Saccharomyces cerevisiae S288C: one gene and its partner. The gene in region 1 interacts genetically with each later gene. Each region holds a gene or a part of one and is shown on either strand. Other genes may lie near its edges.

Region 1 (4,603 bases):
TTTTAGTTTTAGGGTGATTGTGGATATCACACCGGTCCTCAAGAAAATCGAAAACAAAAGGATAATCGGACTTATCTGGTGATCGAAGAAACTGCATTTCAGGTCGTTTAATAAACTGCTAGCTATTGATATTATATATATAAATAAACCTACAATCAGGTTAGTGTATTCATCTCACTTCTATAGCGTTGTGAAAGGGAAATGGAAATAGTGCAATCTCAATAAATCTGCTTACGTGACATTTTTTACTAAAAGAGAATATGAAAACTGATAGATTACTGATTAACGCTTCCCCGGAGACATGTACCAAGGGAGATGCTGAGATGGATACTATGGATACTATTGACAGAATGACATCAGTTAAAGTTTTAGCGGAAGGCAAGGTATTAAGCAACTTCGAAGAACCGGGCTTAATGAGGTGCGGTTATCATGATGCAAAAAACTGGGTCAGAAGATTATCGAGCGAAACAATTGTCGGTGAGGACACGAGTAATTTATACCCATTTTATGTTGATACTGCATACGATGTAAGGCGTTTGAGAAAGGATCTTATAAATGCTAAGGTTGACTTGCAGGTTGAAAACCTGATAATAATCTGCAATATTAATGATATTTCCACTGTATTTCTCATGAGAGAAGTGGTGGAATGGATCTTACGCAATTTCCATTCAATAACTGTATATGTACAAGATATTTTTAAAAAGTCAACTCAGTTTGCTGTTGGTGACCTCTGCAAAGACAGCAATTGCAGTAAAAACAGAGTAAAGTATTGGTCAAAAGAATTTGTTAAAAAACACGATTCATTCTTTGACTTGATGATTACACTAGGGGGTGATGGAACTGTCCTTTTTGCTTCATCTATATTCACGAAAGATGTTCCGCCGATTGTTCCATTTGCCCTTGGATCATTAGGATTTCTAACAAATTTTGAATTTCAAAATTTCAAAGAAACGTTGAAACATATCTTAACAGATGAGGTTCGTATTAATTTACGAATGAGGTTGCAATGCAAACTCTACCGTAGAAATAAACCAGAAATTGATGCCGCAACTGGGAGAAAAATATGTTACATCGATTTCATCTCCGAACATCACGTATTGAACGAAGTAACCATAGATAGAGGTCCAGCTCCTTGTTTATCCCTATTAGAACTCTATGGAAACGACTCACTAATGACTAAGGTTCAGGGAGATGGATTGATTGTTGCCACGCCTACGGGATCCACGGCATACTCATTGAGTGCAGGAGGCTCTTTAATATCGCCAAGCGTAAATGCCATAGCGGTGACGCCTATATGTCCTCATACTTTGAGCTTTAGGCCTATAATTTTACCAGATAGCATGGAATTAAAAGTTAGAGTAGATATGAACTCAAGAGGGACGTCGTGGGTGAATTTTGACGGAAAAGATAGAGTTGAATTGAAACAGGGTGACTATGTTGTGATAACTGCAAGCCCCTATTCGGTACCGACTATCGAGTCATCTGCCAGTGAATTTTTTGAAAGTATCAGTAAAAATCTTAATTGGAATGACCGCGAAGAGCAGAAGCCATTTGCACATATTCTCTCGCCAAAAAATCAAGAAAAATATAGATTAGACTCATCGAAAAATGGAAACGACACCATAAGTAATCCCCTCGAGAGTTCATGCATAAGCTCAGATGCACAAGATGAGGAGAGGAAATCCGTAACGGAAACAGAAACAGAAATAGTTGTTGAACGGACTCGTCAGGCTCATTTTGCAATCTAACGATTTCCCACATCCTGCGTTTCCGTAGTCAAGGGTTCATAATGGATGATGAGCCTGTAAACAGCTTTGTATTTACCTCTTTTACTTCAAGAATGCTCTTGCGTCGTTTGCAGTGTCGAAGAAGATCCAGTAGAGCTATACAAAATGGAGAAATGAAACAGTTGAACCAGAGCGCCGCATTTGGCAGGTAGTTTCGCTAAATTTCCTCATGCGCGTTTGTAATTATGCTAGTTAACCATATGATAAGGTTGCCTAACTTGCAGTCACCGGAAGGTTATTTCCGGAATGGTGCAGAATAATTTTTAAAATAGTAGCATATATTTCGTTCCAATTCCCAAATAGGGAATTATAATTATGACAGATAAATTCCCGATTAGGAAGAAGCGCGAAAATTCTTGAAAAACTTTTTTCAACCTCGAAGAAAATCGTCGTCCTTCGAAGATTTAGTGGGAATCTTCAAGGTGGATAGTTTCCAAATTAAAACTGCAGAAGAGGCTTTTAAAACATGCCTGAGGTATAAAAAGAACAACATTCCTGGTGATTATGGTTTCTGTTGGACCCTGTTCCCTTTGTAAAACTTCTATTTATTGTCCTGCAAATAAGCTAATTATATAATTAATAATGGCAATCGTTAATAGTTGGCTAATTTGTTTAGTCAGTATTTTTTCCTTCGTGGTACGTGTAGAGGCCGCTACATTTTGCAATGCAACTCAAGCATGTCCCGAAGATAAACCATGTTGCTCACAATATGGTGAATGTGGTACTGGTCAATATTGTCTGAACAACTGTGATGTAAGATATTCGTTTAGTCATGATTCATGTATGCCTGTACCTATCTGCAAGAGTTCATCCACTAAATTCAAAGATTATTCCTCTAAGTTGGGGAATGCTAACACTTTCTTAGGAAATGTTAGTGAGGCTGATTGGTTGTATACTGGTGACGTTTTGGATTATGATGATGAAGAAAGTTTAATTTTGGCGATGCCCAAGAACAGTGGTGGTACCGTTCTTTCCTCCACGAGGGCTGTTTGGTATGGTAAGGTCAGTGCTAGAATAAAGACGTCACATCTTGCTGGTGTGGTCACTGGGTTCATTCTGTATTCCGGCGCAGGTGATGAACTTGATTACGAATTCGTCGGTGCTGATCTAGAAACTGCTCAAACCAATTTCTATTGGGAAAGTGTTTTGAACTACACGAATTCTGCCAATATTTCCACTACTGATACATTTGAAAACTACCATACTTACGAATTAGATTGGCACGAAGATTATGTAACATGGTCCATCGATGGTGTCGTCGGTAGAACCTTGTACAAGAACGAAACTTATAACGCCACCACCCAAAAATATCAATACCCACAAACCCCATCCAAGGTGGATATTTCCATTTGGCCAGGTGGTAATTCTACCAACGCTCCAGGAACCATTGCATGGTCTGGTGGTGAAATTAATTGGGACGCATCCGATATCAGCAACCCAGGATATTATTATGCTATTGTCAATGAAGTTAATATCACATGTTATGATCCACCAAGCGATACCAAGAAGAATGGTACTTCTGCTTATGTGTATACTTCGTCCAGTGAATTTTTGGCCAAAGACATTGCTATTACCGATGATGAGGTCATGATGGACAGTGATGAGGGATCTGGCTTGGACCCACATAAGGGAGCTACCACATCTTCCACCCAAAAGAGTTCTTCCTCAACTGCAACCTCTTCCTCCAAAACGTCATCCGATCACAGCAGTTCAACTAAGAAGAGTAGTAAGACTAGTTCCACCGCTTCATCATCATCATCATCATCTTCTTCTTCTTCTTCTTCTTCCTCTACTGCTACTAAGAACGGAGATAAAGTCGTATCCTCCGTATCCTCTTCCGTCACTTCCCAAACTCAAACAACATCTTCTGTAAGCGGAAGCGCCTCCAGCAGTACAAGCTCAATGAGCGGTAATAACGCAGGTGCCAACGTAGCGGCAAACTGGCGTTTGACTGTTTTATGTGTCATCCTAGGTTATGTCTTATAGGAGGATCTGCATCTAAGAACAAATAGGCTACACAGGACTCTCAAAAAAAAATGTATTAATAAATAAAAGAACTTAAATATAGACTTTTTATTCGCATGCATATAAAAATAATTAATTAATAAATAACTGTAAAAAACTAGAATAATAAAAGTAATAAATATCTCCTCCGACGACATAGCCTATTTGGCAGCCTTTGTCATATAAGTAATTAAATCGTTTCTGTCCTTTTCCTTCTTCAACCCGGCAAACGCCATCTTGGTACCAGGAATATATTTCTTTGGGTTCGTCAAGTACTCGGACATACTATCCTCATCCCATTTGACGTTCTTGTTGATGTTTGCATCTGTGTAAGAATAACCCTTTACCTGACCTGAATGTCTACCAAAAATACCATGTAAATTAGGTCCAACTTTGTTAGGACCACCCTCTTCTATTGTATGACACTGCTGACACCTCGTTTTAAACAATGTAGCACCCTTTTTTGCAGAGCCTGGTTTGAATCCCGTACTTTCTTTAGCCATGTTTTGTTTATGATGTAATGTAGTTTACTGAAGTTTACTTAAAGTAATGTGAATAAATGCTTGTATGTGATCTTCTTGTATAAGTCTTTGATTTTGTTTCAACCTCAACAAAAAGAGAACTATTCTGATCTAATCTTCTCGAGCTTCACAACACGATATATATATATGTTGTGTGCCTTTGTCTTTGCCCCTTGCGGCCACTTATAGTAGTTGGAACTTGAATAAATGCCCTCGCTATTATCGCTATTAGCTTTGAGAAGGTGGGAAAAGACCCCTCGGCGGGGGACTGCAGACCCTTCTCAGAGAAGG
Region 2 (6,960 bases), on another chromosome or scaffold:
TAGTTTTTGATTCGTCATTACCGTTTTCTTCCGAAACCTCAGAAGAAGCATCTGTGTATTACAATTTTTTCAAAAAATTACGACTCCATCATGTTGATAGTGGTTTGGTTGTAGTCAATAAACTTGAGAAATTAAATGGATTGTTGATGTCTTTTATGTTAAATTTGGATGGAAAATTGCAGAGGTGTGTGTATGGTGACAAGGAAATATTCTGGTTGGGGCAATTATATGCTGGCCAGGATTATTCTATCAATCCCGTTGATGGCAGTATTATTGGACCTGTTAATGAAGAGCCTGAAAATGATGACGGACATAAAAGCGGGATGTACTACATTTGTTCTACGCAGATTGCACACAGTGACTCCAAAAATCGATTACTATGGGTAAACGGTGGACTGAAGACTTGTAAAATTTCGAACAGTGCTGAAGATGACTTTGGAAGAGAGCCAGAGTATTTTAAGAGTAGATATGGGGACATTTCAAAATTAAAAAGGATATATGATGCTTCGTTGAACGTAGAGGGACTAATCGTTCCTGACGTTTCTGTTCATCCATGGATGCAAATCAAGGAATGTTCTAATTATATGTATTGTGCATATGCTACGGGTGACGGACACACAAACTCTGAACTTGACGAAGGTCGTCTAATCACGTTTACTGAAAAGGAATTACGATATATCAATGATATTTCTCGAACCTGGAATGCTAATTGAGAAAAAAAAAAGTGAAAAGGAAATGAGAGTATTAATATTTATTAAGTATGGAGCATATATAATCCGAAAAATGATTATAGATTAATTTAGAATATGATTTGGGAATAAATTAACAATTAGTTTAAAGCAGAAGGCAGCCGGATGAGGAACAAGAACTGTTGAATAGTATTAGGTAATTTTGAATGTTTTCTAACGGAACGCTATTCACTGATTATACGCTTTGTTCGTTTGGATTATGAGATGTTTTGGACCGCCTCATTGATGGGATACACTTCTTTATACCATCAATCACAGAAGGCCAAATTTTTTTGATGTAGGTTAGGTAGAAGCCCACAAACATGGCGGCAATGTTAAAGCAAACGAAAACCCATTCAAAACCAAAATTTCTCCATCTGTGATGATAACTCATATTTTCTTGAGCAAGGAAGTCATCCCCAACAGTGTACATGCAGTAGGCGCAGACGGTGTATGTGTTATTGATGTGCAGTTTCCCACCAAATTCATCAATAAAGGGTTTCATAAACTGACCGCAGGTTTGACCCATTACAGGTTGGCTTGGTACCATTTCACTTGTCGAGCAGTTTACTTCTCTGTCATGGAGAAGTAAGCTTACGAAAGTTTCAATGAAATACGTGTATGGTGAAACCCTGTACATGAATGTCCAAAATCTTGGGAATAACGAGTATGGTTGCATAACGCCACAGAATGAAGCTGTGAAACTATAGAGGAAGGCAACAAAGACAGCGGCAGTTTGTAAATCGGGGGCAGAATATAGAAGCCACAACCCAAATGACAAATAATACATGGAAAATAAAATATAATTCAAGTAAAAGACACCAGCTACACGGGCAGAGGTTTCGAAACCGCAACAGAAGTAGCAACACAGGAAAAATAAGGTAGAACTGGAAATGGCTAATGGTAATTCAACAATAGTTTGAGCAATCAAAAGAACGGTCCAATGATAAGTATTAGATCTCGCTTCCCTGGCGATATATACTTCTTTAGATTGCAAAGCCTTATCTTGAACCTGATTGATCAAAGGGGAGGAAACACAAAGCATCATGAAGCACAAGAAAATAGCATCTTGCAGACCGTTGATATTATGCTTTGTCCTCCAAAATGAAAATCCAATGAATAGTCCAGCGCCAGCATTCAAAGCATATTTAGCGAAAACATAGGTCATGTCTCTCTTGGTACAAATGTACTGTCTCTTTGTGATTAACTTTATTTGTTCCATATACGAAGGCGGACTCCATACGGACGTAGTGAAATCAACACCAGATTTCCGGGCTTCTTCTTCTAATAAAAGCAAATCATCAGCAACCCGCACTTTTTCTGGAGAGGATTGCCAGAGTTCTGCCCAGTTAATTGAATCAGATTGCTTATGGTAAGATACTGGCTCATCAATTTTGCTTGAGGTTGGCTTCTCTGCATCATCCATTGGAATATTTGTACTTCCGCTACCAACAACGTCAATAACGAAATCAGCCGGATTATCCATTTCTCTGTCAAATGTTAGGCGTCTATCGTGAGCTACAAAATAGTCACAGGCATTAGGTAATGAACCAAAATAGACACACTCACCACCTCTTTTTAGTAAATAGATGTTATCAAAATAGCTGATGACACTTTTGCTAGGCTGATGAATAGTACATAAGATAGCCTGACCTTGCATCGAAAGCTTTTTCAGAAATTGCACGATGGTTAAAGCTGCTTCGGCGTCTAGCCCTGAAGTAGGTTCATCTAGGAATAACAACAGAGAAGGCTTAGTGACCAATTCAACACCAATAGATAATAATTTTCTTTGAGTTGGAGATAAATCAGCAACCAGTTTTTCCGAAGGCAATCTTAATAGGTTGCTAACAACTCCTAAATAGTCTCTATCCCCATCACCTCTTAGGACGCAGGAAATTTCCAAAGACTCTCTCACAGTTAAGAGCTCTAAATGAACATCTTGCTGTTGAACGAACCCTATACTTCTTCTGAATGCATCAATATTCGTTAAGGGCTGTCCATCGATTAATAATTCACCGGTAACAACCCCGCTTTCGGTCCTTTGAGACAAGACATTCAACAAAGTTGTCTTACCAGCACCAGATTCACCCATTAGGGCAGTTAATCCGGAACTTATATATCCAGAAGCGTCGTTGATCAATTTTTTGTCTCCAATGGTATAATTGATATTTTTCCAGGAGATGACGTGCTTTTGCGTTTCCATAGCTACGGATTCCTTAGTATGATTGTTAACAGTTTCATCTGGATGTTTAATATTGTAATCAGTATCGTATTGATGCGAGACTGATGGAACAGAAGAGGATGAAGTGGAAAAATTGGCTATCGGGGTCTTGGGAGTACATACGCCATCGTTGTTGGTAATAGCGCTTTTATTATTCTTTTTTTGGCTATTCAGAAAGGGACAGTATCTTTTGAGATAGTTATTCCAGCGCAATAAATTTTCTCTAGTAAACAGAGGCGTGATATATTCCGCTGCTAGTAAAGAGCAAAATAGGAAGAAACACAGAAACCCAATGATAATACCGAAATTTCTCCACACGTGATGGTAAGTGTATTTCAATCCACTTTTTAAATAATCACGGCCTCTGACGTAATCGTTACCTAGGGTAGCGCCTTGCCAGGCACAAGCTTTATGACTGAATGAAATATTGTCATAATATTCACCTCTGGGAATAATACTTTCATGACAGTCTAGTTTCAGGTTAAACAATTCGTTACTCAAAATGGCTTCCATGGCAAACATAGCAGGATTCAAATATGCAATCCATATGAACCATGGATGCATATCTTTCATATAAATAACATAGGACGCGTACATGGCAATGGCTAACAGTAAGATACCGGCCAATAGGTTTGCCATTGATAGAGTTGGAGCGATCAAAGCAGTTAATGCAAATAGTGACACCATGCAAAAATTATAGACGGAAAGGAAAAGCAAAAAGATGAAAAACCTAGCTGCATTGTACTGTAAATGGGCCAAAAAGTAAAGTATGATTGTAAAAATAACCACCAGTATAAATTTAGAGCAGCAATCGAAAAAATTTGTTGCTAAAGTTTCCACCCAATTATAATAAAAATGGAGCTGGACATGTTTACGAACGACGGGTTGCCTTTGAAAGGAAGCAGGCATGTCGGCGAGAGAAAGAAATGTAAAGAATAGGATGGAAAAGAAAGTTAAAGATCCTCTAGAAAACGAACCAATTGTTGTCAGGGGAATGTTATAAAAAAGGGACCCAATAACCAAAGACTGCACCACAACAGAAACAAATTGAGAAATCAAGTAGTTTCTGTCACCAATGATTCTTTCGAAAGCTCTTACAGTGCACGTTTTCAGTTGCGTCTTTAGCGGAATACTAAAAATGGGGGAGATATCATCCGGATTAACATCTTTTCTGGTGCATTCTTGCACTGTTTTTGAAGTGATGGCCTTCCAGTGTTTATAGTATGGAGACTGAATCCATAATGTATGCAAATCTGTTTCATTATTGATGTTTAAAGCTTGATTTTCTTCAGAAACAACAGATGGAGTGTCAAGACCAACAATGGAATTAGACGTTTCCTTGAACTTAAAATTTAAGATTGATGTTAAATATTCAATAATACAATCGTTAGGGTTTTTTTTTATCTGTAAGGTGTCATGAAAATGGGTTAAACACTCCTCCATGGTTCCGTAAAACACCTGGAAGGAATCACCTAACATAAGAATCTTGTCAAACTTGCTGACAATTTTGTCGCTTGCTTGAGAAATTTTAACAAAATTCACCGATCTTGTAGCTTTTGCCATCTTTTGGGTAATGGAAAGAAATTCTAGGGCGGTGGCAGAGTCCAAACCCTTCGTCGAGTTGTCCCATAAGTAAACAGACCCATTGGCAATAAACGTTTCTATAATGGAGATACGTTTCCTTTCACCTCCAGAAACACCACGAACGTAGTCATTACCCACATACGTCTTCTTTACGTGCGACAGTCCGAACTCTTTTAATAACTCGTCTCTCATTTCAATACGCTCTTGCTTGGGAATGTGAAACTTACAACTCAACGCAAAATCAATGGTTTGCTCCACCGTCAGATACGGGAAGTGAATATCTTGTTCGTTATTATAAATGATCTGATGGGGGCATTTGGAAGCAAACTGTTTGTACTCATTGTCTTTGAATCTAATAGACCCTTCAGGCGAGTATTTCAGATGCTTGTGACCATGGAATAGACCTTTGAAGAGCGCTGATGTTGGGTTTCCCAGTACTAAGACGACTTCACCTTCATTAGCACGAAAAGTGATATCACTAATTTCTAAATGGCCTACGTTTTTGAATTCCGATGCGGACTCTTCATCGTTCTGAACAGCACCGAGGGATTCTTCCAATTGAACGGTAGCCCCATCAAAGGTGACTGAAGCGTCAGGAATTGGATTAAAATATTTGGAAAGAGACATCCGCGAGGCGTTGCTTCTCTAATTTTACTCTATCGTGTTTAGTTGTGAATTTTTTTGCTACAGTATGCAAGTTCTTTTTACCAACCCGTTTACGAACTAATGAGAAAAGGGTTTAAGTGTGTGATAATACTATTAATAGCTAAAAGAGCAGAGAGCTTTACGATGTTGTATGTTGTTTTATATAGGTGAGAGCAGGATCTGCGGAAAATACTTCGTACCGTAGTATCCATTTTGCCTATGGAGGAAAGCTTGTTTCCAAACCAGGAGATCCGCAGACAGGAAAAGTTCGAGGCCAAACAAAAACCGCAGCACAATGGAGTAAAAGTCGAAGGCACGGGCCCCAAACGATAGAGTGGAAGTTGTAGGAAACAAAAGTGGCCGTCTATGTGGCGCTTCTCTGCGGTGAATTCTGTGCGAAGTGCCTAAACGAAAACGGACGGAGAAGGCTGCGGGGGGATATCCCTTGCATAAAGGATGCCCGGCACTGTCCTAGACGGTGCCTTCCCTTAGAGACTAGGAGAGACTTGAGTAGGAGAAACTGAGCAGGAAAATTCGAGAGATAAAGTACATGTGCCTAGGTAAGCTGTACTTCGAACAGCTAATATTAGTAAGATGCATAAAGGGGCGTCAAAGTGGAAATATAACGACAGGAGAATCTCGGTGTGTAAGTTGGAATGTGTATTGCACCACTTCCATGATTGGGCTTTTTTCCTGGCGCAAAATGTTGCTTTTTCAACATTTTTCTTATACGCAGAGAGAGAATCGTCAGATAGGTGGTAAAACTTGGAGCCTAATTAGCTCATTATTTCATTTGAACGAGACATTGGCTTCTGCCCTACATCACCCATACGAGACATTGGCCTTATACGAGGCGTACTTCGCCTTGCGGGAAAAAAAATTTCTTTTGTAAGCGAGGTTACTCAGAAACTGTGACTGAAGGCAGAGGTTGGAAACGTGTGTAGACTCCAAATGGAACGATAGGAACGTGTACCCTACCGCTTCTGCACACGTTTCTTAGATATGCGTGCCTTAAGGCGACCCATTGTTCCTGTTTACCATGATTTCTGTAGGCTTTTTTTTAGAAGGCCCTAGAATGGATTGCAGATTTCCGTCTGAGAAGGCAGTATACGTACATATGAATATATATATACATATATTCTTTGGTGGAGAGTATAAGCGTTTCGTCTCCTCTTCCTTTCTCTACTGCAGATTTTCTTGCTGGTTGTTTGATTTTTTCTTTTTAGTGTTCCCCAGATCCAATTGTTCAACCGCCCACACACAACAATGTCTTTCACTAAAATCGCTGCCTTATTAGCTGTTGCCGCTGCCTCCACTCAATTGGTTTCTGCTGAAGTTGGACAATATGAAATCGTCGAATTTGACGCTATTTTGGCTGATGTCAAGGCCAATTTGGAACAATATATGTCCTTGGCAATGAATAATCCAGACTTTACCCTACCATCTGGTGTTTTGGATGTTTACCAACATATGACCACTGCTACTGATGATTCCTACACCAGTTATTTCACCGAAATGGACTTTGCTCAAATCACCACTGCCATGGTTCAAGTGCCTTGGTACTCTTCTAGACTGGAACCTGAAATCATCGCTGCTTTACAAAGCGCGGGTATCAGTATTACCTCCTTAGGTCAAACCGTTTCCGAATCTGGTTCCGAATCTGCCACTGCTTCCTCAGACGCTTCTTCTGCTTCTGAATCCTCTTCAGCTGCTTCTTCTTCTGCTTCTGAATCCTCTTCAGCTGCCTCCTCTTCTGCTTCTGAATCCTCTTCAGCTGCTTCT

What was found. Genes that interact genetically often act in the same process or in processes that back each other up.
Region 2: mutations in UTR2 (region 1) and PDR11 together harm fitness more than expected from each alone (negative genetic interaction), as found in Saccharomyces cerevisiae (2 studies listed by BioGRID).

Annotation. Positions count from the first base shown.
Region 1 is NC_001137.3:75,684-80,286, forward strand, and holds UTR2 (chitin transglycosylase UTR2), read left to right. Parts: upstream 1-2,369; coding exon 2,370-3,773; downstream 3,774-4,603. Other genes in the region: YEF1 (NADH/NAD(+) kinase), read left to right, coding at 261-1,748; CYC7 (cytochrome c), read right to left, coding at 3,953-4,294. UniProt on the Saccharomyces cerevisiae protein: Dual chitinase/transglycosylase that plays a role in cell wall architecture. Chitinase and transglycosylase activities are coupled. Required for the polysaccharide cross-linking at the septa and the cell wall.
Region 2 is NC_001141.2:327,283-334,242, forward strand, and holds PDR11 (ATP-binding cassette multidrug transporter PDR11), read right to left. Parts: upstream 5,161-6,960; coding exon 925-5,160; downstream 1-924. Other genes in the region: alpha-1,3-mannosyltransferase MNT3, read left to right, coding at 1-713; YIL012W (uncharacterized protein), read left to right, coding at 5,729-6,070; TIR3 (Tir3p), read left to right, coding at 6,445-6,960. UniProt on the Saccharomyces cerevisiae protein: Transporter involved in the uptake of sterol.